4 linked regions of the Schizosaccharomyces pombe genome follow. The gene in region 3 interacts genetically with the main gene of each other region. Each region holds a gene or a part of one and is shown on either strand. Other genes may lie near its edges. The genes, in order: pvg1, cbf11, gsf2 and mbx2.

Region 1 (7,028 bases), on a different chromosome or scaffold from region 3:
AATCATCGTGTCACTCAGATATCCATTTCTATTTAATTTAGAGATTCATCAAACCAAAAATGATCTGGTACACTATTTTTGAAACATTATGCGCATTTGGTATCATCATCGAGTTGGGCATTAACTCAATAGCACAGCCAAACATAGAACAAAATAACCATTATTATTCAAATATTCTTTTAATATGAAATACTTCTTCTTAAAGAAATAAACTTACCAAAACAATCGGTACAAAACTAATTTCGAATAAACGGGTAGATGATGGTGAATGGTGTAAGTGGACTGACTATATATGCGAACACTAGAATCATTGTGATAGAGGGATCAAACCTACAAAAGCTATTTTTTTCTAAAAACGTTGTAAAAATGACTGTATTACATTAAGTCGACTGTTAACTAAGTTGTCTCTGAAAAAGCCAACTTCCATAGTATCTGACCGCTAAAAGGAAATTTCAAGTAAACAAAACCGGTACAATGAAAAGAAACAAATTTTGATTACACCGAAAAGTGTGATTAGGATAGAAAATCTGATCATTTTTAATATATTTTTCGAAAATTTATGACGACAACCTAAGACAAACATGAAAATACAAAAATATTTAAGATATAAAGCGGAAAAAGAAAAGGAAGTAAAACGCCCTTGAAAGCAAAAAAATTGATTTTTATTCAGTATTTGACAAGCAAGGCAATGAAACCCAGCTAAACCAATAATCCATTCGCGAATATTCACAAAAGTTGAAAAAAAAAGCGAAAACAAATATCAACATACCAATTGCTACTTTTTTGAAACCCAAACAATTGGCAAAGGGTATTTGAATGATGACAATAGTTTTAAAAGATGACCCCAATTTGTAACGAAAGAAGCGTATGCTCAAAAGAGGGATTTATTTTTTTTTTTGCTCAGATAGAACCTTAAATCTTTCCAAGTGATGAATATGTTATTTTTTACTGAGCGCTTGCAAATTTGCAGCCTAAACCGGGATAGGAATAGTCATTTTATACCCGTGAACCGTAGCACGTATTTCAGGAGCGCCAGGGTCCTCTTCAAACATAGGGGTTCTTTTTTCTTCTAAAATCTTTTCAATCTGAAAACCCTCACTTTGAGCGATGTCGAAGAAGATCATATCTTTTTTAGCCAGATGTGGACGGTGATGGGTAAAGAAAACGTAGACTACAGCGTTTGGATTACCTTCAATAGCCATTTTGCAAGATTTTATCAGCTTTGAATGCTCAGTATGGTTGAAAACTAAATCAGAAAGCAGTAAAATATCAAACACCTCATTGTCTTTAAAACCAGCATTCGACATGACTTCTTTTATGTTAGAACCCCAGAGATATCCCACTGCAGAAATTTTACTGGCTATTTCAGCATATTGCTTAACATTATGCTCAAGGTTATCGATTAAAGCAGGATCAGGGTAATCAGTCGAAACTACAAATTTTGCTCCGTCAAAAGCAGAAACAATGGAAGGAAGACCAGCTCCAGCTCCAAGTTCAAGTACCTTTTTTGCACGTACAGTGTCAGGGTTTTTGTCAATATAGTTGGCTAATTCAATGCCGCTGTTCCAGAGATAATGTGCCCATAATGAATGACTCCCTACCAATCGCAACTTGATTTCTTCTGGTCTATTATACATAACGATGTTAATATACTAACCTCTATATATTGTTTATAAAAAAAAGCTATCTGTCTAGCCTGTGAGTGGTTTTAAATCATACCCATTCGGCACTATAACTCGTGTGTGTAAAACTTCTTTAGGAGGAGGAGTAGAAGGTCGAAACCCTTCAGGTTCTTCAAAAATTCCAAATCCCTCGAAATCATTATCGGCCATGATTCCTGAACTTCTTTTTTGAGGATATTAGAATTCGTGCTAAAGTAAGGTGGTAAGGTAATTAAAAAAGCAAATTCAATTAGCGATGAAGTTTAATAATTCTCTTGTGGGGAACCAAAATAAAACGTTGAGGAAATGAAATGGTTTCAGTATTCGGTGAATACTCAATTACTTTCGGTTCACATTCAAGGACGAAGTATTTTGTCTAATACCAACACAAGCAAAGTTGTACAAAAAAAATATTCAACATTATGGTAACTTAATTAAGTAAACTTTAATAAAATGAAAATAAATTTATTTCTCTCTGAATAATTTCTGGGTAAATAGAGAGCGTATTAAAATAAGTATAAGAACCAAGTTTACTCAGCTCAATAGATAAGTAAAAAAATAACTGTAAAATAAAACAAATAGCTAATAAAACAAAGTAAATTTAGCAAGTAAAATTGGAAAAAAAAGTTGAGAACCCTATTCCACCATTTGCATTCTTTATGCACGGTCGGTTTAAAAACAAGCTGATCGTGCAAGCATAGATAACGTACAGCCAGGCTATAGAGAAAACAAATAATTATAAAATAGAAAGCCTAAAAGAAGAGGCAAGTGATTGGTAAATCCATTGACCTATTTCCATTTAGACTTTTAGTTTGCTGATTGATAGATAAGCTCCTTTTGCGAAATAAAAGGAGGAACAAATGAGAATTAATAAGAGTTAAAAATGCTAAAGAATTATATTTCATGATGCGAATTAAAAGTAGCCGGCCTCATTCCACTCGAGAAGCAAAGACAAAGCCTTGTCAACGGAATCAACGACTACACTGACACCATCCAATGTGCAACCATGTAGCCAGGTATTATGATAGTTAGTAATTTTTCCCATTTGGGAGTTTTCAACGACGATATGAGGAATACCCATTAAAGTGCTAAGGATGTGAGCATGGAGACGATCAGTAATGACGACGCGAGCAGAGGCAAGGAATTCCGCACCAGCTTCGTAACGAGCTTGGCCTCTATCATCAAAGGAAGAATCGGGATTTTGAGCAACAGGAGGATCCCACAAGAGCCAATCCTCAACGCTGTAGGTCAAGTTAGCGGCATTCAAAGTATCGCGATAATAGTCTTCAGCACCATGTTGCTGACCACCCTCGTGATCGAGACGAGCAAGAATCAACACATCATGAGTGATGGGAGTAGCCTCGCGAATCTCAGGGATGGGGCCCATGAAGAAGACGATATCGGGGGTAAGAAGAACTTCATTATGCTTGCCAAAAGCATCAACGGCAAAACCATAGCTTTGCCTATCACGAGTGACCAAAGTGATATTAGGATTTTCGGCATACAAAATAGAGGCCTGTTCGAGAAGTTGTTGTTCATTATACCAGACAGATTGAGGGAAGGATATGGTGGTGAAGGAAGGGAAATCTCGCACGACAAGTTCACGTAAATGCTGATGGTCAGGATATAAATCGCCAAAGTTACCACCGCCGTGGAAAGCAAGTGCGAACTCATCTCTGGGGATATCAGAGATGATCGACTTCAACTCAGAAGCAGAGTAGTCAGCCTCTTGAGCAGTAATGTAGACAACCTCAATATTCAAAGCATCCAAAAGCTTTTTCTCAGCAACATAGATTGCACTATCACCCTTGTTGGGGTGGTCAGGAAACCCAATGAGCGCAACCTTCTTGATGCCTGCAAAGTAATGCTTGTAATAAGTGAAGAGTAAGTTGGATTGCAGAGTGATGGTGGATTCACAGGAAGCACTATTTCTGGGTGATTTGGTGAAAAGGGGCTTTTTCTTGTCAACCGAAGTAGACGAGGAAGGAGAAGTTAGACTACTAGGGTTCTTCAAAGTTTGCAAGTCGGTGCGTGTCACGCCGTAGATAAACAGCGTGCAAGACACGGCAGCAAGGAGAAAAAGCCACACGGACTTTCGAATATTAATGTTTGCGAACATTTTGAGTTGAGAAAAAAAAAGAAAGGAAGAAAAACGATAGAATAAAAGAACGACACACGTCTATCGTCGTAAAAATTTTTAATGACAGGAGAAATTAAATTCGATAATCCCGGAACAATAATTAGCGAGGTGTGAGTATTAAGTTGGATAGGATAATGATTATCAAACTAAATTTAGAAAAAAAAAAATTAGCATTTGATCGACAAAAAATTTCAATGTAGTCAAATTACACCAAATAATAACACTTACCAATTATTTAACCAAGTGTATTATAAATTAGGAGAAGGAATCTTCGCAGCACCGTTTGGTGTAGTGTTTGGTTAAAGGCAACCTCTAAATGCTAGGACGCAAAGGGTAATTTCGAATACCGTGTGCTATCACCAAACTTTTCAATTCGTAAAGCCGAGCTAGTATGACTCTAGAAGTAATTTACACCACACTTTCTTCTTTTACTGGTGGCCGGGCTTCAATTTTGACATTTTTATTTCACGTTACAGCTTACATCTAATTGCGATTTTCCGAGGCGTTTGCGTTTCCGATGATCAGATCTGATAGAAGGTGAAAAACTTTCCATCCCAACGATAATAGAGGAGGTTAACGCACATAGACTCTTTACGTTATATTCTCATATCAAATATGAAATTTTTTATGAGAATATGTAAAGTCTTTGCTCCTTTCTCAATGTTTACAAAAATAATTTTATCGAGAGATTTTTCAATAAATTACCTGGATAGAATATTCATTGTTAGGTGCACCCCGGAAGGCTTTTGCCGAAAACTCCGCCTCAAGTTATACGCCCCGTCATCTTTTAAACTCAGACAATGTCCACTCCGACCATAAAGTTTGCTGTTTACATGTCAGCTAAGAAAATGGTAGGAGCGCCTTTGTTGGGCTCGTAAGTGTCAATTGTAAACAATGACCAGACAATAAACAAAGAAAGAGTCTCTTTTACAATCATAAGTACGTGCCTGAATGCTTTGTTTTCTCTACTGTGTTGGGTACTTGTTTACAATTTGGCATGGCAGGTTGAGCTTGCAATTTGCAGGGGTTAAAGCAAACCATGCCTGCGTACAAAGGTGGTAGGCATATCAACCTGTGTTGGGATACGGTGAGGAGCACAGTAGTGGGAAGGAGAAAAATTCTCAAAGCAAAATCATGCCCTGAGTATGAAAATTGCTGAGAAAGTTGTTGTTGTTTGATTTTGGAGATATGGTAGACGCAAATTACGCTTGCTATTACTAGAATTAACTAGCCTGTACTTATTGAATGATCAAGATTACTTTGACACTTTGTGTTTACAACATGTTTGTTAGCTTTTTTGCTACTAAATTAATTTGGCTAAAAACAAAATGTTCCACTTTGAAATCTTTTCCCTCGATACTTATTTATTTGTTGATCACTCTTGTTTACATCCGTATTTCCTACATACACTTTAATTCCCTTCCCGCATAATCTATGCAAACAAAAAAAAAATTATTTATTCATTCTAATCCGCGTTCTGCGGCACCCATTGTAATAAAATCATAATCAACATTATACCAAATCATCATGGGTATCTTTTCAAGGCATGACTAAACTATTTAGAGTATCCATATACCATACATATTTCCTTAAACAAACAAACATTTTATATGCAAAATTGACATAAACTTGATTTCTTTTTCTCTTGCAAACTTGGAAATCACCGTCCCAAAAAAATAAAACACCTACTTGGCTTCAGTGATGGCCTTGGTAAGCTCATAGGTCTTGACGGCATCCAAAAAGTCGGAATGGATAAGGTTCTTGTCACCCTTACCTTCAGCAGCATCCAAGAAGATCTTGAACTCACTGTAGTATGGGTCATCATTGGGGTATTTGTAAACCTTTTCTTCGTCCGAATCAGGAGAGCGAACATACAAGACGGGCTCTTCATAAAGATCAACGATACGAAGGTAGTAACCATCAGCCTGAACTTCAATGCAAGTATCATACTTGGCACCTTGAAGAGTAATGTTGTGAGTAAAAGCACCAACACCACCGTCCTTGTACTTCCATGAGGCAGCGGTAAAGCGGGGAATACGCTCCTCTGGAGGAATTGTCTTCTCATCAACTGGCATAGCATTTAATTTGCCGCTAGGGTCATCCCACTCAACACGGTTGACCTTGATACTATCAATCTCAACATCACCACCAAAGTAGCGAGAGAGATCACAAAAGTGGGTACCTTGCTCGACGACTGGACCACCAGACTCAGACATGATCCACCAGAACTTCTTCGAGTTGTGAATGTAGGCAGAGTTGTACTTGGCTACAGTACTGACAACCTTCAAGTTCTTTTCCTTGATTATCTCCTTGGCCTTTTGAACTGTCTTCAAATAACGAAGCATGTAGCCGACAGAGATAACGGATTCAGAGGGCAAACGACGGGCGACAGCAAAAGCATCCTCGACGGGAGCGGCAGAAATTGGTTTTTCGATGAAAAGAGAGGCATCAGGGAATCGCTTGAGGATGGCCAATTCCAAATCGGCTCCCTTTTGGGTAGAGCCATGGGTCTCAGGAGGAATGCCAATAATGTAGGCATCGGGCTTCTCCTCGGGGTGGCTGTCTAAGTATTCGAGGTATTCATCGGCAGAATAAAATTCACGAGTGTTGGCATAAGAAGAGGCGTACTCAGTCTCAGCCTTTTGCTTAAGGACACGTTCGTGGGAACTCTTGTGAGGGGACAAGAGAGCAACAACTTGTAAACGATGACCAAGAACGAGTTCAAGCTTTTGGGAATTATTCCAAGGACCCTCAGCAGTACCAAAATTAATACCACCGCATCCAAAGATAGCGCACTTAAAAGGAGGGCCAGTGGGTTCGGGAGCGGATTGTGGAAGATGGGAAGAAATTTCGTCCTTGACGTTTTGGTAGGTTTTGTAAGCTTCGTCTTTAATGTTTTGCATCATGATATAGAAATTTTAGAATAGAGAAGTTTTGTTTCGTTGAAGAAAATGGAGAGTTGAAAAAAAAAAGATTAAAATATTTGTAAATGTGAAAAATCGTAATCGTCAAAAATATACAATCAAACGCAGCCTTTTAAATTGTAGCAAAAAAAAAGCTTTTAATAAAAGGACGAGACAAATTGTAAGTCGTATATAAATATATAAAAAAGAGAAAATCTAGCAAAAATACAATAAATAAATTGTAGTGGGATTTGCCAAGTTTTTAAAAGAGAAAAGTGTTTTTTTTTGTTACACTGTAAATAGAATAGAATTCACAAGCTGGAG
Region 2 (6,871 bases), 630 kb from region 3:
CCTTCTCTTCAGCTAAGGATCAATGGCAGAATTCCTTTTAAATCTCCCACTCCTTTCATAATAGTTTGTGAATTGAGATACTGCATATTTACACATCCCATTCATTAAAAAACATAGTCTTAATTCCCATTCCGCCAAAACATAAATCCTTTTGTTTTACTATTATTCGACTTGTGATTTACGAATAAATGTTTTTTTACACCTGAATTTATCCCGTCTCCTTTTGTCAACTCACAATATTCCATATGCTTAAAATTATACCCGCAGAAGCTTTTTTGGAATAGAAAAAATATTTGTGTTACTCTAGTAATGTAATGATAAACATGTTTAAAATACATAAGGAAAATCGTTTTATAAAATATATAATCGATGGAGATTGTATGCGACTTCTAAAGCATTGTGTAAATTAAATAAGGTTGATTAAGTACATAGGAAGTATTTACAAATGTATAATCTGTGAATGACAAGGATATGTATTTGTCAATACTGCATTTGAAAAATATATTATAAAACCATTATTAAGAATACAATTTATTTAGATCTATAATGACTATGGATAACAACTAGTCGCAATGGTGTAGTTGGGAGCATGACAGACTGAAGATCTGTTGGTCATCGGTTCGATCCCGGTTTGTGACACTTTTTATCAGCAATTACAGCTTTGTAAATAAAGCATTTAACACAATGAATTTTGTGCCAACGCTGAGTAGGAATAATATCTTTCTCTACATACTCTTTAACTGGGCAATCCTGGTAATGTATTTGAGTAATTAAGCAGTATTGAGTCTGTTTTCATCGGCATTGTTATTTAGTAAAATGATTGATTGATGAATGTACACTCTTTCGTTAATTGCAAGAATTTATGCTGTGATAAACAATCATTTGCGCCTTGGATTTTAAGTAGGCTAAGATTTATTTTAAATACTAATGATGTTGTAAATATAAAAAGGACGGGACTCTTTTTAAGAAATATAACTAAATAACACGTGGAAATGACAAAAAACTTGGGTAGTTATTTTCAGAATTGTTCAAGCAAAGCTCAAATTTCTTTCTTTATATATTTATTATTTTCACATGTTCAAGATTTTATTGTCAGAAGCAAATGGCTTTAGTCCACAGTAAATTTAAATAACCAAAAAAATTCATTATTCCTATTAACCGATCTTTATTAACAATATTTTCTCTTCATTCCATACATGGTCGATTGTCCTGCTGCAGCTCAAATCACTATTTCAATTTCATAGCACAGAGCCAACTAACCTTACTCAATGATCCACTAAACAATATTTCGTCTCTTAAACAACAAATAGTCATCTTGATTTGCATTTAATTCAATTGATAATATAGACTTATACATTTATACCTTCCACACGGCTTTGCTGAATTGAGGATATTATAAAACTTTAACCGAATTTGCCAAATATGGAAGAGGAATTCCTCTCATTTAAAAATTTTTTACAGGAGGATCAAGATAAGAGGGAGAAAATTATTCGTCTTTCTCGTGAAATCACAATTCAAAGTAAACGAATGATCTTTCTTTTACATCAAACATCCTCTTCTGATGGATTTCCTCTACCCAAGGATTTCGACAGAACATCCATTTTTGAAAAAAAAATTCACAAAGAACTAGAAAGTCTGAAGAGAGAGTTGGCTGGATTAAATGCAGACAAGTTCTCTTCTGCTTGTACACACGGCCTTCAAGAGTATGTTGAAGCTGTCACTTTCAAATTCTGGTTACAAACAGGTACGTTACTTTCTTGTAAAGATAGTAGCTTTAGAATTTCTATTAATTTCATCGACTATGTACTCGGTGTTTGTGACATGACTGGTGAAATAATGAGATTCCTTGTAACCAACGGCTCTAAGTTCTCTGTCCAACAACTCACTCAGCAAGTTAAATTTCTTCGTGGACTACACAAAAACTGCTCAGAAATTGAACACTTACCATCTAAGGTCAAGTCAGAATTACAGCAGAAATTATCAGTAATGGAGAACAGCATTTCAAAAGTTGAAGGAATTTGCTATAGTAAAATTTTAAGAGAAGCAGATAAAAGATATTTAAATTTGGAAGTGGATACAGCAACTCCTCCCGAGGAGAAACGATTACGGTCCACATAATATATGATCGACAGCTCTCGACAGACACCTTACTAGTTTATTAAAAGTTTTTCTGTTTTGCAGCTTTTGAAAATCATAATTATTAAGTACATATTTTCGACGATTCAATTATCTTATCAAAAGCTTCCGCTGCTTTCTATATGTTAGAGTTTCCATAAGCTAGGATGTTTGTACAATATAAAGTTCATTTAATAAGAGAGATTTCAACCTAATTCCATCATTTTGAAAACAAATTGTATTTCAATATTTCGCCATATGAAACCACACGTAAAATTAATCATGATGCATCAGTTTCCAAAAGCACTTGACGTTAGCAAAATCTCGCATTTTCCAATAATGACAATCCCACCTGGAATCACGAACAACAAAGGATACTTTTGTTCTGCACAAGAAGGATCATATGAAATTTGCGACAGACCTAGAGTGACCGTACCCATTGTACTCGTATCAGCAGCTGCGGTAAAACTATACGACAATGGTCCATGAACACCTAGCCAAATTTGTAATCCGACCGAATAGCCTCCAATTTTAAATTGTAATGAGCGCGAGCTCTCCAAATATTCGGGTGGCTCTTCAATATATGGATAATCAGTAACCGTTGGTACAGGATTTTGATTGAATGGTAACATCATCGTACAGTCAAAATGTGATATGCCCACTATAGTCCAGCATACAGAATCTCCAACTCGAGTCATTTCATTTGAACTCAAGTTTCCAACAGCTTCCCATTCTATGGGCAATATAGCCTCACTAGATGCATTTCTGTTTTGTGCCGACGTGGCCCCAAGAAACCAACGGACTGAAATATTATTGGAATATGCCAGTGAACTATGCTCAGCGATCTTAAGATGCCGTACGTTTGATATGGGATATGCGCTTTCTAATACAATTCTATGCATTTGATTAACGTAACCGTCCTCCTCAGCAATGTGGTCTTTTTCTACTCGTCGAATAATTAAAGGGTCACTCGTCGTTCCTGTTGCTTCATCGACCAATTCAACGATGGAGCCATATTTAATGGGTTCTGGGTTATCGACATCGTCGCATACCTTCAGTTTACCATTTTCATCTGGTAATAGCAGGTTAATACGCAATGGCACCCATCTATCACCGCGAAGACAAAACTGACCAGCCTCAATCGATGTATACTTTGTACGTACAGTTTGTGAATTAATCCGGTTATAAAGGCTGACGACTGAACCGGATCGCAACGTAATATTACTAATTTTTAGTTTGCTTCCTTTTTTCGAAGGTTTGGAGACAATACTAATAGAAGAAGTAACCAAATGAGATAACAATTGGTTATTTACATTCGAGAACATGTCCAGAGAAAGCCGTAAGTTTTTAGATTTCGCAGCGACCAAACTCGATATATGCAGTGACCGAAAAATCATACATCCTTGGCCAGTGTATTCTTCGCTGATGGGTTGCGAACATTGCCCAAAATCATTCATTATTGATATCTCAGTGCGAAAAGACTGATTGAATATAGAAGAGTAATTCCCATTAATATAAACCATAGGGGGTGGACATAGGTAACGTTTCTCTGACCCATAAGACTTTTGTATGACAGAGGAATGTCGACACGAAACTGTTACCAGCTGACTAGGTTTCCCTGAACGTGTAAGTGAAATTTTGTGCACACTGTCCTCATTCAAATTAGCAATGCCAATACAACAATTGTTCAGTAAATCCAAATGATCTGATATGGCTCTTCGGATCATCTCTACAGAACTGTCTTCATCAAAGGTTTTTCTTTTTCTATTAAACCCAGGAGGAGAAGGAGCAGGAATTATGTTTTGGGCCAGCTCGTCCAACGAATTAGACGCCTTTGCTACAGCAGGAAAAATTGACTGTTCATCCTTAACTACAGAAGGGAATTCCTCTGATTTTTCCAAAGTAGCCAAAGCTGAGTTTACAGCACTGAAGAGAGACAAAACCTGCATGGAAACACTTCCAGGACTCCCGCTTCCAACTCTTTCAGAATTTTCATTCCTTCCTCCAGCTCCATCCTCCTGATTATGCAAACCATTATTTATGTTGTCCACTAGAAAAATCCGTTAGCTATTTTACGCTTGGGATGTTCAGAATGATTTATAACTCAACCATCATTGCTAGCGCTTACAGTTCAACTGATTTAAATTTAAGGAGCCAGAAGTATTACTCCCAGAGATATTTGCAAAATCCCAGGCAAAATAGTCCCCCATTAATGTTCAAATTATGTTTTATACTTGCTTAAACTGTTGGACCTATAGGATTAAGACATGCATTTGCTTTTACTTAAATTATTTTCAGTGAGAAAATATTAAAATTTAAAGTAAGGGACCAAATTACTAGATGCTTAGGACATTTGCAGTATGGCGCTTTCTACGTACATTAGGGTCAGGTCGGTGGCTTCCTACTCAGTTTGAGCCATTTCCATTAACATCGATTTTTCGATATTATATTAGTTACCCTGTTATTTAAATACTAAAAGTATTTAAAATTTATTAGAATTACTTATTATCTCGTTTTTAAAGTGAATATTAGCTTGCCCGAATAAGCTGTATATGCCTTTTTCCGGAATAACCACGAAACGATCGTTGGCGTGAGATTATTTTGAATTAGAAATTCTTCAATAACTCTATTTAAGATCCTTTAAAACAACTTATCGAATGAACGACGAAAGACTAGTAGCCATCAATTTTGAACAGCAAATCTTCTCTAAGATTAGCGAAATTTCTGAATCAGTCGGTAGGGCGATCCGTTACTGTAAGGAAGATGGAAAAGTTGAAGGATGTGAAACAGCATCCCATGTGGATTGTACGTTACTTTTTCTTATAAATTGAGTGATAATGTTTGCTTCATCAAACGACTAATTGCTAATGAAAATCCAGTCTTAAATCATATTCATTTACTTTTGGGAAATTACAATAATGACTTAGCATCTTCAATTGAAAAGAAGAAATCCGAGTTGATAGTAAGAAACTCAGAAGGGTTACCTGTTATGGATATTCATGAAGAAGTTGATAAAGATGGAAATATTATAAGTGCTTCTGTTGCTCCACAAAGAATTTCATCTGTAATAGATTATGCGGATGTCTTTCGATCCCTTCCTGGTTTCAAAAATATTGAAAATGGGGGGAACCGTGATACATCTTCGAGAATTGAAGAGCTATCTGAAGAAGAAATTAACGATTCTACGAAAAATATTAACTACAAAGCTCCAGAAATGGGCTCATTACCTTCTAATACTGAATTTACTTCAACTCCAACACTTGGTGTCTCAGAATTTCCCAGCAAACATGGTGATCATTCAGACAGTAAAACATATGAGAGTCCTATTAGTAATAGTCAGGCTGCTTCATTGAGTGATTCAGATATGGTTCAACAAATTAAAAATGGTAGCAAGACTTCTTTGTTTAAAAAGGGTTTTCTTTTCAAAAAAAATAATGCAATGCAAAACAGAACTACTTCAAATATAAAGTCAAACGCTTCTGCTATTGAAAAAAATAAAGAAACGATATTGAATGCTCTCAATAACTCTACTTTAAATGAAAATGGACATCAAGATACCCAAAATGAAGTTTTACGAGACATTGTGTTAGAGCATCCGACAGCGAAGGCCCAAGATACTGGGGAATCTAATAAAGATAATAACACTAGCACGTCTAAACATAAAAAACGACCTAAGCGTCTTTCAAAATTTAAACAAGCTAAGCTAGAAACAAAAAAATCTGGCAACAAAGATCATGCTACATCTAGTGAAAAGCTTTCACTAGGAAATGAATCTATTCATTCTATAAACGAAACTAGAAGTAGTAGTATAGAAGAACCAGATAATGCCGACAATAAAATTGTCGAAGAAGAACCGATGTTACTACCAGTTCCGACGACTGCGCAAGGACAAAATGTTTTGGAAGCAGTACAATACGACGGTTTAGACTCTTTAGAAGATATGGAGGCTCTCATTCAGGAAATGGAGGAGGAAGGCGAATTAGATGATAATTCTGAGTCTGAGGAAGATGAACATGGTATGACGATAGGATTTTCCAAGGAACTGAAAGCTCCACCGGATCCTCAATATTTTACAGAAAAGACTGGTGCTACAACTTATGTCAATGGTAATGACGAGAGCCTAAATGTCAGTGACTTTCCACAAATCGTTGAACAAGAAGAGCTTTCGTCAAAAAATCCTCGAAAGGTACATTTTTCAGACACGCTGGAAATTAAACACGTCAGTCGGAGTGGAAAGGCGAATATTGAAGTTATACCTGCTCCAACTGAAGAATACGATAATCTTTTTGGACCAGACGATTTTCAGAGTCGTATTTCAGCGTTTCGTAAAGCAAGGAGCAAATTGCGCGCAAAGGAAAACGAAGAGGGCAACCATTCTAATGCCACATGTACAATCAAGAACGATGATTTGAGTAACACATTAAATAATCGGGCTGCGAATACAAAGTTAAATCCAAAAGAAGAAGACAAATCTACTGTAGAATCCGAGCTTAAAGCACCGCCTAAAGAAAAAAGCTCGGAAACTTCCAAGGAATATTTAAATGAACCATCTGTAGTAAAAGATTTTGTAGTTGAACGAACTCCATCTGACAAAATTAGCGAGTCTAAAGAAGCATTCGATGCGAAAGTCGAGGAAATTAGTGATCAACGAGCTATATCACAACGTTACTACGAACTGAGAAAAAAAATGATAGATAATACAGGTGAATATATTAAGGATGAAGAAGAACAGGCAGTTATACCTTTGGATGAGAAT
Region 3 (10,194 bases):
CTCTTTTACACTATGCGTTTTATCGTATTCCTTCATTATACACTATGCATGCTGTACTTTTTAATGCTACACTAAAAATACGCACACTTATTGCTTTGAATTCATTTACATTAACTTGTCACTCATTCACTATTTTTACATTAGCACCTTTTTTCTACTTATGCTGTTATTCTGAAAACAACAATAGAATATCTTTAAATGATAATTTGTTATTATAAGATAACTAGTTTAATTCCATTTATTCTAAAAACATTAACACCTCATGATCGTTTGTTTAAATTAGAGTAACAATATATACAAACAAAGAGACAAACGTCAAATAGGCAATTGGCTTATTAGCTCCAGCGGAGGATGGGTATAAGCCAGTAACGTTGGTGTTGTTACCGCCTGTGAAACCACCCGTCGTGTAGTAGGTATAGTTATAGGTAGCTGAACCGTTCCATTGACGAACGGTAGACCAAGTAGATGTACCAGATCCTTGATAAATAGGATTGCTAGTAACAGTACTGCTTTCAGGTGCTTCGGTAGAAGAAACAGTTTCGGTAGCAGGAGCTGAAGTGTAAACACTAGTAGTATAATAACTAGTGGTAACAACAGTGCTAGGCTCGTACTGGGTAGAGGAAGTAGTGTAAGTAAAAGCACTAGATTCTCCGGATACTCCAGTAGTCGTAGTAACATGAGTGACAGGATACACGGTTGAGCCAGGAACGACAGTGCTAACCACAGTAGAAGATACAATAGTAGTGTAATATCCACTTGAAGAAGTCTCAGTAACAGCAGTAGTAGGTTGAACCTCAGTAGCAGTAGTGACTTGAGTCTCAGTACCAGCAGTTCCAGTAGCACCAGTAGTAGTTTGAACCTCAGTGGCAGTAGTAGCTTGAGTCTCAGTAGCAGTAGTAGCTTGGGTTTCAGTACCAGTAGTGACTTGAGTCTCAGTACCAGCAGTGCCAGTAGCACCAGTAGTAGGTTGAACCTCGGTAGCAGTAGTGACTTGAGTCTCAGTACCAGCAGTTCCAGTAGCACCAGTAGTAGGTTGAACCTCAGTAGCAGTAGTAGCTTGAGTCTCGGTACCAGCAGTTCCAGTAGCACCAGTAGTAGTTTGAACCTCAGTGGCAGTAGTAGCTTGAGTCTCAGTAGCAGTAGTAGCTTGGGTTTCAGTACCAGTAGTGACTTGAGTCTCAGTACCAGCAGTGCCAGTAGCACCAGTAGTAGGTTGAACCTCGGTAGCAGTAGTGACTTGAGTCTCAGTACCAGCAGTTCCAGTAGCACCAGTAGTAGGTTGAACCTCAGTAGCAGTAGTAGCTTGAGTCTCGGTACCAGCAGTTCCAGTAGCACCAGTAGTAGTTTGAACCTCAGTGGCAGTAGTAGCTTGAGTCTCAGTAGCAGTAGTAGCTTGGGTTTCAGTACCAGTAGTGACTTGAGTCTCAGTACCAGCAGTGCCAGTAGCACCAGTAGTAGGTTGAACCTCGGTAGCAGTAGTGAGTTGAGTCTCAGTACCAGCAGTTCCAGTAGCACCAGTAGTGGGAAGGACCTCAGAACCAGTAGTTGTAGGAGTATTAATGACAACCGTAGTGGTTCCAGTAGCAGTTCCAGTAGGAGTAACTGTGACAGTAGATGTCTCGGTTCCAGTGTAACCAGTTGTAACAGTAACAATGTCGGTTTCAGTCGCAGTCACTGTGGTAGGTGTTTGAATAACAACTGTAGTGGTTCCAGTGGAGGTTCCAGTAGGAGTAACTGTGACAGTAGATGTCTCGGTTCCAGTGTAACCAGTTGTAACAGTAACAATGTCGGTTTCAGTCGCAGTCACTGTGGTAGGTGTTTGAATAACAACTGTAGTGGTTCCAGTGGAGGTTCCAGTAGGAGTAACTGTGACAGTAGATGTCTCGGTTCCAGTGTAACCAGTTGTAACAGTAACAATGTCGGTTTCAGTCGCAGTCACTGTGGTAGGTGTTTGAATAACAACTGTAGTGGTTCCAGTGGAGGTTCCAGTAGGAGTAACTGTGACAGTAGATGTCTCGGTTCCAGTGTAACCAGTTGTAACAGTAACAATGTCGGTTTCAGTCGCAGTCACTGTGGTAGGTGTTTGAATAACAACTGTAGTGGTTCCAGTGGAGGTTCCAGTAGGAGTAACTGTGACAGTAGATGTCTCGGTTCCAGTGTAACCAGTTGTAACAGTAACAATGTCGGTTTCAGTCGCAGTCACTGTGGTAGGTGTTTGAATAACAACTGTAGTGGTTCCAGTGGAGGTTCCAGTAGGAGTAACTGTGACAGTAGATGTCTCAGTTCCAGTGTAACCAGTTGTAACAGTAACAATGTCGGTTTCAGTTGCAGTCACTGTGGTAGGCGTTTGAATAACAACTGTAGTGGTTCCGGTAGAGGTTCCAGTAGGAGTAACTGTGACAGTAGATGTCTCAGTTCCAGTGTAACCAGTTGTAACAGTAACAATGTCGGTTTCAGTTGCAGTCACTGTGGTAGGCGTTTGAATAACAACTGTAGTGGTTCCAGTGGTTCCAGTAGGAATAACTGTAACAGTAGAAGTCTCAGTACCAGTATAACCAGTTGTCACAGTAGTAACGGTGCCAGTAACAATGGTTGTAGGAATGATATACGAAGAGTTTCCATAAGGAATCTCAACTGTGTTGGTAACAACAGGGCCAGAGGAACCGGTCAATGTAGTTGTAAGAGATCCGGAATATCCAATGGTAGTAGTGGTAGTAGTAGCCGAAACACTGGGAGTTTCGATATAAACTGTAGTGGGACCAGTCTCACTTCCACTGTGAGTAACAATAGAAGTAAGCGTGGTTGATCCAGTCCAGCCAGTCGTAATAGTAGTATAACCATAATTAACACTAGTAGTGGTAGGGACATCAACAGTTTCAGTAACAATGCTATTGCTACCGCTACCAGTCAAAGTAGTAGTTACCGAACCAGAATATCCAACAGTAGTGGTGGTAGTGACAGTTGTGGGATAAGGAGTCTCCACATAAACTGTAGTAGGTCCAGTCTCATTACCACTGTGAGGAACAGTAGTGGTAAGAGTAGTGGATCCAGTATAACCAGTGGTAACAGTGGTGTAACCATAGTTAGTAGTAGTGGGAACCTCAACAGTATCAATAACAGTACCATTGCTAGGAGCTCCAGTCAAAGTAGTAGTGACGGATCCAGGATATCCAACAGTAGTGGTGGTAGTGACAGTTGTGGGATAAGGAGTCTCCACATAAACTGTAGTAGGTCCAGTCTCATTACCACTGTGAGGAACAGTAGTGGTAAGAGTAGTGGATCCAGTATAACCAGTGGTAATAGTGGTGTAACCATAGTTAGTAGTAGTGGGAACCTCAACAGTATCAATAACAGTACCATTGCTAGGAGCTCCAGTCAAAGTAGTAGTGACGGATCCAGGATATCCAACAGTAGTGGTGGTAGTGACAGTTGTGGGATAAGGAGTCTCCACATAAACTGTAGTAGGTCCAGTCTCATTACCACTGTGAGGAACAGTAGTGGTAAGAGTAGTGGATCCAGTATAACCAGTGGTAATAGTGGTGTAACCATAGTTAGTAGTAGTGGGAATCTCAACAGTATCAATAACAGTACCATTGCTAGGAGCTCCAGTCAAAGTAGTAGTGACGGATCCAGGATATCCAACAGTAGTGGTGGTAGTGACAGTTGTGGGATAAGGAGTCTCCACATAAACTGTAGTAGGTCCAGTCTCATTACCACTGTGAGGAACAGTAGTGGTAAGAGTAGTGGATCCAGTATAACCAGTGGTAACAGTGGTGTAACCATAGTTAGTAGTAGTGGGAACCTCAACAGTATCAATAACAGTACCATTGCTAGGAGCTCCAGTCAAAGTAGTAGTGACGGATCCAGGATATCCAACAGTAGTGGTGGTAGTGACAGTTGTGGGATAAGGAGTCTCCACATAAACTGTAGTAGGTCCAGTCTCATTACCACTGTGAGGAACAGTAGTGGTAAGAGTAGTGGATCCAGTATAACCAGTGGTAACAGTGGTGTAACCATAGTTAGTAGTAGTGGGAACCTCAACAGTATCAATAACAGTACCATTGCTAGGAGCTCCAGTCAAAGTAGTAGTGACGGATCCAGGATATCCAACAGTAGTGGTGGTAGTGACAGTTGTGGGATAAGGAGTCTCCACATAAACTGTAGTAGGTCCAGTCTCATTACCACTGTGAGGAACAGTAGTGGTAAGAGTAGTGGATCCAGTATAACCAGTGGTAATAGTGGTGTAACCATAGTTAGTAGTAGTGGGAACCTCAACAGTATCAATAACAGTACCATTGCTAGGAGTTCCAGTCAAGGTAGTAGTGACGGATCCAGGATATCCAACAGTAGTTGTTGTGGTTGTGGTAGGGACTGTAACAATAAGAATTGTTGTTGGAGGGGGACAACTAGTACTTGTTGAACCAGATGTGGTTACAATTAAAACCGTTGCTGGGTTGCATGAGGTGCTAGTCGTATCAGCTACAAAAGTTGAGCTCGCTTCAACAGCATTTGAAACTTGTGAACCTGAAGTGGTAGTCGAATCAGGAAGAAAGGTAGATGGGCTTGCTTGAATTGCATAAGAAGCTTCTTTCCCTGAGGTAAAAGTGCTAATAGCAGTCATGGAAGCGTCGTTGCTAACGGGACTAGCAGTAATGTAGTTAGCATCATTTCCATTTTTTACTGTGAAGGTGCTAGTAAACATGCTAGGATCAACAGCAGCGTCTCTGCCAAGTAAGGTTGGCATATCGTCAACTAGGAAATTTGGATCCGCAAGCTCGGTCTTTGGAAGTGAAATATCGTGAGGCACTTCATTTTGTGATGCAGAGGAAAGGTAATCTTCAGGTTCCATTCCCTTTTGCAAAATCCTGACATTTCCAGAAGGTAGACCAGAAGTCAAGGAGGGAAGAAGAGCAGCCGTGAAAAGTAATGCCCGAGCAGATGTGGATAAAAACCTTCTAACAGACATTGTTGATATATTCAAAAACGGGTAAGTGAATTAGAAAAAAACAAAATTATTAAGATAATTTAACCAAACGAATAAAAAAATTAAATATTATCAAAAACAAAATTAAATCCAATGCTTGACGATTGGTGTGCAGAGCGCGTTTATTGATAATATGATAGAAATTCAATTAGAAAAATAGTGAATCCCAAATGAATAAAGCTCGTAGTTTCAACAGAGAATGAAGAAAAGAGGGTTTAAATGAATGCAAAATTGCGAAAAGATTAATGAAAGAAATAATATATATAAATAAAAAATAACTGGATGAAAGGAGATTCGCAAGCTGTATTACCAAACCAACCCAAACACGAAATTACCCAGTGTTTATTTTGTGTAAATGTAGGACAACTTAAAACCCAATTTCAACCCGAAATCCTAGACGATAGAATGGGGGATGTAAAGAAAAAAGGGGAGAATATTAAAAAATAAATGCTAGCCAGATTTATTTTAAATTATTCAAATGAATGTAAAATACCCACTTGTAATTCAAAAGAATGTAGAATATGTACAAGAGCAGATTTGTTTCTCAAAAAAAAAACAAAATTGGATGCTGGCGAAAAGAATGAGTGAAGATATTGTTATCACAGATTCGTGCAGCGAAGAGAGATCAAGTCGCTTTCCCAAAATAAAGATGGAAGGAAGGAAACAAATGATGATACAACAAAAAAAAGAAAGTTCCAATAACCAAACTCTAGCAACCTCAACAAAAAGAGAGAGACAGATGGTGTATATGGAATAGGTAATCCTTTTTTTTTGCAATGTTCGAATCTTTCTCGATGCTTTGCTTTTATAGAAGAAAGTCAACGATCTTAATCTCGTTAAGAATGTTTTGGATGTTCAATTGATGACTGATTGACGAACACTCGACCACTCGCCTTCAATGTAGGAGCGAAATAACTTTCTTAAGTAGATGCGGCCATATTTATAAATAACTACACCCAAACCAATCTGTGTGAAATTTTAGCAATGAATATTTACGGAATTTTTCCTTTGCGACTTTTTCTATACCCCTCTCTCTGTACCCCGATGACCCTTTTCTCAAATGTTCCCCGTTTTTGCAAGTTTTTCTTTTTTTAGAGAAACATTTTGAATTCGAATTTAAAAAATCGTTGTCACCTATGTGGAAGACCCCGCGATAACATAAAACCTCTTCGCAAATTCTAATTTCGGCTAGGGAATAATCTCTATCTCGGGAACATGGAGGTAAGGATCCACTTTTGCATTCTGTGCTGGTTCCTAAGAATATCGAGGTCGAGCGAAGAAGAAAATTTCGATATATGGAATAACGAGACCGAGTATGCTAAAGAAAGAGAAGAAAAGAAGGCTGATTACAGGAGTAGTGTAGAGGATGTAGCAAGCGCAATTTTAATTGCAATTAAGAAGCTAGTGAAACAAGAGATTAAGATTTAATTTGTGGAGATGACAGGAGAGAAATGAAAAAGTGCGACTATGAAGAATGATGAGTAAGTGAGTGGAAGTGTAGTAGAGATGGGGTTGTGGTAGCGAGAAAGGCGGTGTTTAGAAGGATGTAGTAGTAGTTCATGCAATGTCAATTCATTAGTTATGCAACGTCTAAGTCGTTAGATTTTCAATGTTTGCTTAGTGATCAAAGCATTTATAATTGAAATTTTTTAGTTCAATTTTAAGGTGGCAGCGTTCAGTTGCTATTTTTTCGCGTCTATTTGAATTGCGACGATTGTAAACGAAAAATAACCTTTCAATATTATGGATGGATGTCCATTCGCGCATTGGAAAGTTTCTACTGATTTGAATGACTTTTTACGCGTCCTTTTCCAATTTCTTTTCCTACAATTTTTGGCAATTGTTTTTGTTTTTTTTGTTATCACCACTATTGTTTCATCTTCTCCCTCCAACTAGCGTTCTCCTCGGATAAAAATACTTGCATTTACTTCTATATGTCCAATTCATAAAATTACAAGTATGTCAAACCTCTGCCGGCTTATAGTCCAGCTTGCCTTGGAGGCAGAATGCATGGCGGCGCTCACCAGGTGTTGTCAATCTGGTCCCGTAGAATGGTGGTAATTTTTGCAACTCTCATTACTCTACGCTAATTATATATACTGCATTCTTAAGTAATATAGTGAATCGGAATGAGTTTTTTTTTTTTTTTTTTTTTTTTTAAGCAAATTGGATCGGAAAAACAAGGACAAGAAATGAACGAAAGCCTTGATAATTACGAGAAAAATTACATAAAATATATGGAAATCTTTTTAGAATGAAATGAATTCTTTTGCTTCTTTTCCAAACGTCAAAGCCAACGTACTATATCCTTTTTGCTACTGTGTACATGCTACGCTCTACTTCACTAAACAGTCAGGTCAGTATGTACTATTTTCGGTCAGTGTGTACTTTTTGCTCTGGTTGTGATTAAAGCTAGTTTGGCTTAGCCATCATGGATGGTAAAGCCGGCAATGCCTAGGCACATGTTGAAATGGTTATTTTTATAGAACTAGCTATTTTGGATGAAAGTTTGAGAAGGAAACCCGAGAATATAGACTCACGAATAAAGAAACACTCATTAATTATTCGTTTAAAAGATATGAGAAGAAGTTAAAACAAGAACCTTTCTATTTTCATCCACCATTCACACAACAAATACTTTTTGTTTGTAAGCAGCTTCTTGTGTTTCTCGTCTATTTCTGTAAATAACCAACATCGGATAGCACACCCACTTTACTTTCTATTCTTAGTAGCCGTCGTTATTTATTTTTAGCAGTAACCCGCTCCTGCCGTACTAAACGGCATTCATAAACGGAATTAGTGCAGTGTAGTGTAGTGCATTCAGTGATCAAAGGGGATCTTATTTTCTTCGATTGTCTTCTAAGTTTCTCTATTTTTAGATGGACATTTTAAAAAAAGTCTTCTTCGTGTATTGTAGAATACCTTACCCCCAAAAATAAAAAAGAATAAAAAAAGAGAATCCTGAATCACACACACTCTCTCTCTTTCAAACATTTTTTTTTTCTGTGGAATTGTCAATTTATGTGCTGCGAAACTTTTCGCTAATTTCAACTTTACGACTCGTAAAATGCTTCGTTAAGCAAAAGGGGTAGGCTTATATACTATTAGTAAATAACCATCGGTCCGACAAGGCAAGAGGGCAATTTCGATTATGCATCCAATTTTCATAAACTGTAGAAGGGAAATTAGATAAAAAAGAGGTGGCTGAATCAGATGCTTTTCTTTTCTTTTTTTTTAATTCATTATTTGTTTTCACACAGTAAAGTTTTATGTGTACATACGAATTCACCAATATTCATACACTCGGGTTCCCATGGAAAACAAGGCAATCAAATTACGATAAAAAAATATATATATGTAAAGAAAAGAGCAATCGTTAATTGTTGTTGTTGTTGTTTTTTTTCGAAGAGAAGTCGTATTTGTTTCTTTTTTTTCTTAGACATTTTATTGTTCCTTACCTTTATTTGTTCTTCCATGCTTTCTTTATTTACATAGGGTCTCCGTTACTTGATGTTCTTTACCTCTTCCTCGTGCTGAAATTGAATGGAATACGTCATGATTTCGGTAAATCAACCCTTTAAATTTTCGGTAATCCTTGACCAATGTTTGTTTCTCAAATACAAAAACACTAAAGCTTATACGTCATGACATGATGTTATCTGTTCGTTGAGTGGAAGGATGATGTCAAACACATTGTCCAATTGCGGCTTTTAAATTTCGCTTCCTTGTTTATTTATGGCATCATATGAAGAAGGAGAACATTGTGACTCCATTCCGCTTCGTTATTCACCTTTTCAAAACAAGAGGTTTCTACGATTAGCGAGGTCGTCGTTAAGCATAATTAAAGAGAAGAAGATATACAAGATGGTAATTTGATTCTTTATTTCTATTTATATTTTATTTTTTACTTTGATACTTGTGTCCCACTTGTTAATTCTATTTCTATATTATTTTTTCCACTTTTTTAATTCTATTTCTGTTTTCTATTTTCTAATTTTCCGCTTGCTACTTTTACTTCTATTTACAAACTCTATGCCTATCGTGCGTGACTTTCTAAACAAGTCAAGGTTTTATCGTTTCATCTAATGTTTTATGGCATGTGGAAAGTTTGTTAACCTTCCCATAATTTTAATATGGTTTCATATTCAATTTCTCTTGTTTTCTCTTATTCTCTGTTGGAAAGGAAAAAAAGTGGTTGAGAGTATCATTTGTTTCTTTCTACTTTTCTCCCCTAACTATTGTGAATCTATCATCTTAATCTCTCCCCGCTTTACAATCATTCAATAAGGAAAGTATTAGGAAATGTTGCTGACTCCCACTTTCTCTTTCCCTCTCCCTCTCCCTTGCTCCAAGGGGATGGATGTTGAATGTTCAGAGACCGGTATTAAGGTGGAGTGCGTTGTCGTTATTCTCATGAATGATGGAGTTGGAGAAAAAACCGATTTTAAGAGGGAAGCGATGAAAGCTGGGGGTTGAAAAGGATTGGAGTGGAGTGGAGTGGAGTGGAATGAATTGAATTGAATTGGATTGGAAAGGAAATGAAATGTTTATGTTTATGTTTATGTTTAAAAGGATGATTTGGTTTTCAATTCAAAATTTCAAGCTGTCAGTCTTTTCTTTCTTTATAATCGCTTTTTTTTTTTGTTTTAGTTGTCATACTTTCTGTGTGTTTCTGTTTCCCGCCCACTTTCTATGACTCTTGTCGAATTGTCACACATTTCTTGCGTATACAGTTGGCTGGCTTTTTTCCTTCTCATTTCGTCTGTGAATTTTAGATAGGCAATTGAAAACATTCACAATGAACAAGGGATACTTAGCATTCTTTACAACAACCTTTTTCAACGTTTGTTTCTAGGGAAGCATATTTCTTCAACAAACCGATTTCATCTTTTTACCCAATTAATTTAGTAAAGGTCATTTCAAAATGTATCACTTTTTGAGAGAATGGGTTTGTTGTGCGTCGTTCACTAAATCACTCTCATTCTAGTCGACGGAAATATTCTTTTTCACTGTGGTGGTTGTTGTTGTTATTGTTTTTTTTTTTGCGTTTCGTCATTTCTTTTTTTCTCGATTATGTGGAAATGCAATTTGTTAATGGAAAGGCTGGATATTGGATGATGCTTGATTTCCTAATCGTTCACTAATATATTAAATAATCCTTGTTCAACCATTTTCATTTCCTCCTGTGTTCTTCCATTACCTACATTTTT
Region 4 (6,922 bases), on a different chromosome or scaffold from region 3:
TCTTTTTTTGCTAACAGGAAAAATTAGCTTAAATCTAAAAACCTTAAGCTGTTTGCCCACATTTATCCTGAAATCGTGCTGAAACAAATGGTATTTATTTGGATTAAGTTCAACACTTTACAGAAGCGCAATCCTAAAAATGGTGGAATAGATAGACTGTCTTGGATGGGTTAACGAGGTCAGTTCGTCGAAGGGTTCGCTAAAGCGTAGATTAAGAAGTTAATTCGGTAGTATGCTATCGCTACGGTACAGAACTGAATTTAAGGTCAGCCAGAGTTGCATGTATCCCGTGCTAGCCGAAAAAAAGTAATCCGTACTTAACATTCGAAAATTTCGTTAGTCATTTTGTCTTGAAGCTGGGAGTATTCTGCACATTCCATTTAATATGGGGGGTTTTGGTTTGAAGCTCGGTTCTACCGATGTTTAGACGGGCCGATAATGCGAAGAAAAAATAATGATGTTTTCCGTTAAAACTGTTTTCAGATATCAACAAAAAAAATGTTTTCTGACAGAAAACAAAGAATCTGTTAAGAGATAAAGCCATACTTTTGGTAGACCATGTAAGACGGGGTATGTAATACGGGGTAGTACGAATAGATGTAAGACAAAGCTGTGCATAATTCGATTTGTCGCTTACACGGGTATATATGGACAAACATCATATAGTGCACAAAATAAACAAATGTGTGTTTTCTTATACATGGAGCCACGGAAAGTTCCGAGACAGATGCCCTTTTACGGGCTTCAAGTACCGATACGGCAAAAGTCCATAATCAAAGTCCTTTATGTCCCACTAGCTTGATTAAGCTAATTCGGCATACCCCAGGTAAGGAGGAAGAAAGGAAGGAAGGACAAGGTAAGCAGTCGCTGCACACGTCAATTTCGTGAGTCAGCACTACTGAGGCTGTCCATTAAAACAAAGGTAAAGGGACGGCGGACAGAGATGGATTGTGGCGATGATGTTTTTTGATTTCCAAAATTCTCACTGTTTCCATGAGTCATGGCATGCATTCACATCATCGTTGACTCTCCTCTCTACTCACTGACTAACAGTTTAAAACATGTTGCCCCAATCGTAACACTTAACGACCGATTAAAAATGATGAGAATTTGTCAAGTTCATCGTTCAACCCTAGTTTCCCCCAATTCCTTCCCGTACTCCTAAGCAATCATGTAGAGAGGTAGATGAGAAACATCGAATGGTTTGCCTTTTCGTAACAAGTGCTGAAAATGATAGGCGGATGCAGTGTTAGCACGAGTGTAGACGACTTTGAATGAGTGGTATAAGCAATAACGAGGCTCAAGTCAATATTCAGCCTCCTCGCGAATGGTTGCGCACGTAAACTATATCGCAACGAAAGTATGTCAGTCGCCAGATAGGACTACTCCTAAAGTCTAATCCAAACTACTTCGTCTAGCTATACTAAAGTATAAGCAGGTCGTAACGGTCGATTCATTGCGAAATCAAATTACTCATAAGCTACCTCTCTGGTTATTTTTTCCCAATGTACTGTATTCGTATTGTACCCCATTCTTACCGGATACATTTATTAATAGAGCAAGTTACGAAAAGCAAAATCAGAGCGAGTCTATTTTCGGACTTGTGTGTCTAAGTATAGTCAAGGAGCGGAGACAACACTCGTAATATTGTTCCTTCACGCCCTCCTCCCCCTTTCCCCTTTGAATTGAGTATCGTACACTGCATCAGTAATAGGGTCAGCGTTTCCAATTGACTGACTGGTTGAAAAGTGAAGGATTACATACGAAAATCCCTAAACGCGATCATCAGCGCATTCCGAATTTTCGTATCTTTCTATCTCTTCGATTCTTTCTTTAGCCTTGCCAAGTATTTTGGCTGGCCCATACGCTTTGCCTGACTATCGCGTCTAAAAATAAAATCCCCTTTCCAAAACCTTGGATTAGGTGCATGGGATTACTATGATTCTTTCCTAATAATTGCTAATCCCGCTTTCTTTCTATTTTTTTCTACTATTACTGCAAAGTCAGGTTTGCAATCCAAGTGGACTTTAACCATACTCAAAAGGTACCTTCTAACCTTCTTTCCATTATGTCCATCTTCCTCCTCCAATTAAAGGATTTTCCTACTTAGGGCTCATTTAATCGAGGCTATCCCACCTTTTTCATGAAAAAGTATTCGGCCTTGTGACCTCCCCTTTTCGAAAAGAGAGATGAAGAAATAGTTTAAATTACCCGAGTAGCCGAAACGGTGAATTTTCAGAATGTCTACATGAGGAACATAATGTACACTTATACGCGTTTGTATATTGAGAATTCATCGGTAATGTTGGCAAAGTGCTACGCATCTTCGGATAAACGTGAATGGAAGACATTTAGCCCCTAATTTTGGTGTACTTATGCAGGAAAAACCTATCCCTTAACAATTGCCTATGGAGGGAAAGAGAAAATTTTTTTCGTTCACTATTGGAATTTATTTTCTTTTGCATAAATATGTACAATGGTATGTTACGATGCTGGCGTCGATACTTGTCTAAGTTAGAACGCAGTGTGTATTACGAAGGTTGCATTAAATAGACGTTGCGGTTTCCTAGTTATTGCTATCCCTGTATATATATACACATATATATGTACAAAAACACGTATTTACACGCACTTATAAACGCACACAGACAACAAACAAATACCTAATTTTATAATTTCAAGTTGTTGAGACAGATTAATTTATTTATAAAACTTGGCGAGAAGATATTTTTAAACCTGACATTGAAAAGGAGGGGACAATTGTTAAAAATATAGCTTCAAAGGCAAAAATTTCTCCAAAGTGTTGATTCTTCCTCTTTCTATTTTAAAAATAGCACACAAAAACATCTAGTCATTTAATTTGTCTTTGTTCCTCTCATTTGTAAACACTTGAAAACCACCCGTTCCGGCTATCTTGTTTACTAAAAAAATTTTTTCTATTAATATCTTTAGTTTCGTCGCCCGCTTCAACCCAGAGTACAAAAACAAAAATAGCTTCCTCGTTTTTAAATCTCAACTTAGATTCGTCTAATCGACTATCAATTACGAGCACAATTGGAGAACTTTGCGCTCTTGTTTTCTCAAGCGAAAAATCTACCCTCAAGAGATCCGGTGCAGAGAAGGGAAGACAGGGATAAAAACTGTTACATAAATTCCAAGAATAAACCCCATCTGCTGTTTTCTATTTGTTCCTTATATACTTGCCCGTTTGCTCGCTCGTTTGCTCGTTTGTTTTCGTCATTCTCCCTATACCTGAATTTTGGTTAACCTCGTCGACTCTTTTTCTCTTTTCTCGTCAAACCTTACTAAATATATACAACGTCTAATATGGGGCGCAAAAAAATCTCCATTGCACCCATAACCGACGATCGTTCAAGGAGCGTAACTTTTGTCAAACGAAAACAAGGTCTCTACAAAAAGGCGTATGAACTCGCTGTGCTAGCCGATTGTGAAGTCGCCGTCACAGTCATTGATCGGAAAGGACGTTTGCACGTCTTTTGTTCCTCTGACTATCAACGTACTCTTCAACAACTCAACACTCTCAGCATATATGAGTTAAAAAACCGTTCTCATTTTTCGTCATCGCCTGTCGAAGAGTCAAGTACCGTGTCTCCAGAAACGACAACTGGTTCATTTACTCCTCTTAATAATAAGCATTTGAAGTCACAGGACCAACCTTTATCAGACTCCCAACTCGACACTGGTGATTCTCCTGCAACATCGGAAACGACTGTTCAGGACTATAATCCTCAAGTTCAGTCTTACTGTCGTCCCGAGCCTTTATCGTCTAATCACGTTCGTTCTTGTCCTCCATTTCCTCCCACACAACATCATCATCCCCATACTCGTCCTCCTCATCATCCACCTCATCCTCATTTTCATAACAATAACTATCCACCGCCCTATTGTTTCCAATCTCCTGTGTCTCCGGGTGCTACAGTTCCATTGCAACATCATTCTCCGTACCCTAGTGATAACGGCTTTCCTGGTCATCGTAGGCAAACGCACTTCGCTCCTTACTACTATCCACAAAGAGCTACGTCTCCTTCTTTGAAACAAGTTCCAACTTATCTGGGTACTCATGTACTGCAACAAGACCAGTCCACCTATGATCAGAAGGTCCTTATGCCTCCAGCAAGTTATCTTTCTTCACCTAATCAATACACCTTAAAAAATGTCTCTCCTGGTAACCCGGCTTGCCCTCCTTTTCTCTATGAACATCCAAATCCACAGCTAACGCCTGAGATGTTTGATGTTAAACAAGGCTCACCTATTCCGCCTACTGCGTATTCGGGTAGCAGTTGTGAGACTTCTCAACATACCATTGCGAATACTCCATTTTTGGCATATGATCGCTCTCCTTCCTTAACGAATCAAGAAGCTGAATCATCCTTCCAAGACGTAGCTTCCATTAGTCCACATTCACTCAGTGATGTCAAATACTAAAGAATATCATAGAAGTCAATCTCCCTTTCAAATGTCTTCATCATGTGTCCTCCCTGGATCTAATGAATCGTATACAAGTAATAATTTTAGTTGGCATACATCTCGATCAAATCCTTACAATCGTTTTCTTACTCAAACTGCATATGATTTGGAGCAATCCAAGCACCAATAGTTTACTGCCAAGCTGTGCGATGCCCATTTTTTTAATTTGACTTACATCGCATTCCAGTAAACAATTGTTAATACTAGGTCTATCAATTTATCGTTATAGTTGAATTACGCGAACGAAATTACTGACCTAGCAATAATTGAAGTTTGGAATGTTGTTCAATAAAATGGACACCTACCGATAGCTTATGGATTCAATGTGAACTACAAACCTAGCATGATTTCAGACGCTAGCAAATACAAATACCTGAACATTTCAGATGTGCCAATGGTTTAACTTTGTTAACTTCCATCTTCGGTATTTTGGATCCTCCCTGTTATGAATTCAAGATGGTGATTTTCGGTTTAAATATTTATTTGCAAACTGCGGGCAGTTTATCACTTATTTATTCAGGCACGCATTTTGTCTATTCAAGTGGACTAAGTTTTTTCGTGATTTTGTTTTAACCACCTCCTTCCACTTCATTAATTAATTCACCAACATGTAACATTCGCGGACCAACCTTTATGTTCGCATTCAAATTTTTTTTTGGAGCCGCTAATTTCTAATTAGACGTTTCTCATTCGTTTTCAAGGTTATACATGGTTTATTTTCGTGTGTTTGACTCGATTTTTTGCTAGATTTTTCACGGTTTCTCCTTTTTAATCAAGAACGTTTGACGATTCACAGAACCTTTTTCAAACCCCTAATTACAGTTTTCAACAATAACATGAGAAATTCGAACTTTCCGTGTAGTTTTACAGAGTAATGTTTAAGTGTTTGTTAGTATGTCGGTGTGTAAGTGTAGCGTAGCGATAACCGTCCAGCTTCAAAGGTAAGATGCAGGGGAGTAATGCAGCAGCTAATTTTATATGGCGGAATGAGCATGGTAGCACTCTTCAAAGAAGGTGGAATAGGAATTTGGCTTCATGCGAAATTATGTTAACAGAAACCTGAGTTTCTGTAACATATTATTATATACGTGGCTTAGGACATCCAAACAAATAAATGAAATTCTTTAGTATAAGAAGATGAAGAAGATATAAAAGATTACCAATGTTATGCAAACGATGGAACATGAATCAACCGCATAAAACTCAGTCGCTGTATCAAAAATGACCATCGTGGGATGCTGACATAGGCAATCAAGTTTCTCACTTCAAATAAATTAGAGACTGATTTGGCAAATATTTGAGAATTGATCCTCTATTTGACAAATCATTTTAACTTATTTTATGACAGACAAGTCTGTTTGTATTTTGGGAATAAAACCTCGCATTATCCAATTAAAACGTCTGTTGCGACCACCGGCTTAACTTAGAACAATTATAAAGACTTCCAGAACAAACAAAAGTAATAAATTGTCGTAAAGCGACAATTATGCAAACTTTTTACCCTGTGGGATAATTACCAAAAAGATGATCACAAGTAACGTAAGGCTATGTCTTTCAGGTACAAAACAACTGACGAAAGGTGATAAAAGTATTAAGTAGAGGCATCTGGATGCTGGGAAAACAAATTGGAAATTTCGTAGGGCAGTTTAACATTATTTAATGGGAACGAAAATAGAAAATAAAATATTGCAAAAAGAATGGCGTGGGTCTTACTAAAAGACGCAAATTAGGGATATAAGGCAATTAAACTGCAAATTTAATGCGAATAAAAACAATAGACAACGGCTTAGCAAGTGAATTTACAATACTCGGATTTAGATTTTGCGCGAAAAAGTAAATGCATTGGTCAACAGGAATGCAACCAATGCAAAAAGAATTGTCGCAACCTTGTTAAAAAAACAGAAATGTTTGTTAGACAGTTACAAAGATAGCGATAATCGAGACCAAAGTGTTCCTAAAAATTCCGATCGGAAAGTCAGTAAATCTCGCATAAGGTGGTGCAACTTTGCTGCATACAAGAAACTAGCAGCCCCTGGCCATTTCAGCTTTTTCAATTTGCTTAGAGCACAACACTAAGCAAAGAATCTCTTTCTTTTATAATAGCACAACTCCCAAATGATTATCACTTTTTCTAAAACAAATTAATTGGATACTTCTAAAGTATCCAATTGTAATAAGAAGTCTCAGAATAATCCAACAAATCATTTCAAATATCAGGACGCAGAAGCGAGCATGTAGAGAATATTATTCCATCTCAATACTCGTTTAAAAGGCAAGCGATTCAAAAGAATGGTAAGGGTAGTGGATGTTTGCATGCTGATTTGGAAGGGCTGCGGATATCCATGAGAATAAGCATCGTCTAATCTTTATAGGTATAGCAGGAAAAAGATGAACTTCTTATGAACGGTTAGCACAGAGAACGAGGGAGCGAATT

What was found.
Region 1: of gsf2 (region 3) and pvg1, changing one enhances a phenotype caused by changing the other (phenotypic enhancement), as found in Schizosaccharomyces pombe (one study listed by BioGRID).
Region 2: of gsf2 (region 3) and cbf11, changing one suppresses a phenotype caused by changing the other (phenotypic suppression), as found in Schizosaccharomyces pombe (one study listed by BioGRID).
Region 4: of gsf2 (region 3) and mbx2, changing one suppresses a phenotype caused by changing the other (phenotypic suppression), as found in Schizosaccharomyces pombe (2 studies listed by BioGRID).

Annotation. Positions count from the first base shown.
Region 1 is NC_003424.3:2,867,546-2,874,573, forward strand, and holds pvg1 (Golgi pyruvyl transferase Pvg1), read right to left. Parts: upstream 4,103-7,028; 5' UTR 4,030-4,102; intron 3,948-4,029; 5' UTR 3,781-3,947; coding exon 2,575-3,780; 3' UTR 2,099-2,574; downstream 1-2,098. Other genes in the region: nicotinamide N-methyltransferase Nnt1, read right to left, coding at 972-1,626, 1,720-1,832; SPOM_SPACUNK4.17 (NAD-binding dehydrogenase family protein), read right to left, coding at 5,487-6,707.
Region 2 is NC_003421.2:324,996-331,866, reverse strand, and holds cbf11 (DNA-binding transcription factor, CBF1/Su(H)/LAG-1 family Cbf11), read right to left. Parts: upstream 4,490-6,871; 5' UTR 4,326-4,489; coding exon 4,244-4,325; intron 4,166-4,243; coding exon 2,406-4,165; 3' UTR 2,119-2,405; coding exon of another isoform or gene 1,423-2,118; 3' UTR 1,135-1,422; downstream 1-1,134. Other genes in the region: tfx1 (translin family protein), read left to right, coding at 1,423-2,118; uri1 (prefoldin-like protein), read left to right, coding at 4,773-4,920, 4,995-6,871. UniProt on the Schizosaccharomyces pombe protein: Transcription factor that behaves as a negative regulator of adhesion. Recognizes specifically the canonical CSL response element GTGA/GGAA.
Region 3 is NC_003421.2:959,007-969,200, forward strand, and holds gsf2 (protein Gsf2), read right to left. Parts: upstream 7,007-10,194; 5' UTR 4,967-7,006; coding exon 275-4,966; 3' UTR 193-274; downstream 1-192. UniProt on the Schizosaccharomyces pombe protein: Galactose-specific adhesion protein essential for non-sexual flocculation and filamentous growth. Required for adhesion and filamentous growth through recognition of galactose residues on cell surface glycoconjugates. Induces flocculation when overexpressed.
Region 4 is NC_003423.3:3,623,312-3,630,233, forward strand, and holds mbx2 (MADS-box transcription factor), read left to right. Parts: upstream 1-3,327; coding exon 3,328-4,446; 3' UTR 4,447-5,347; downstream 5,348-6,922. UniProt on the Schizosaccharomyces pombe protein: Acts in transcription regulation. May bind to a MEF2-like typee II promoter sequence.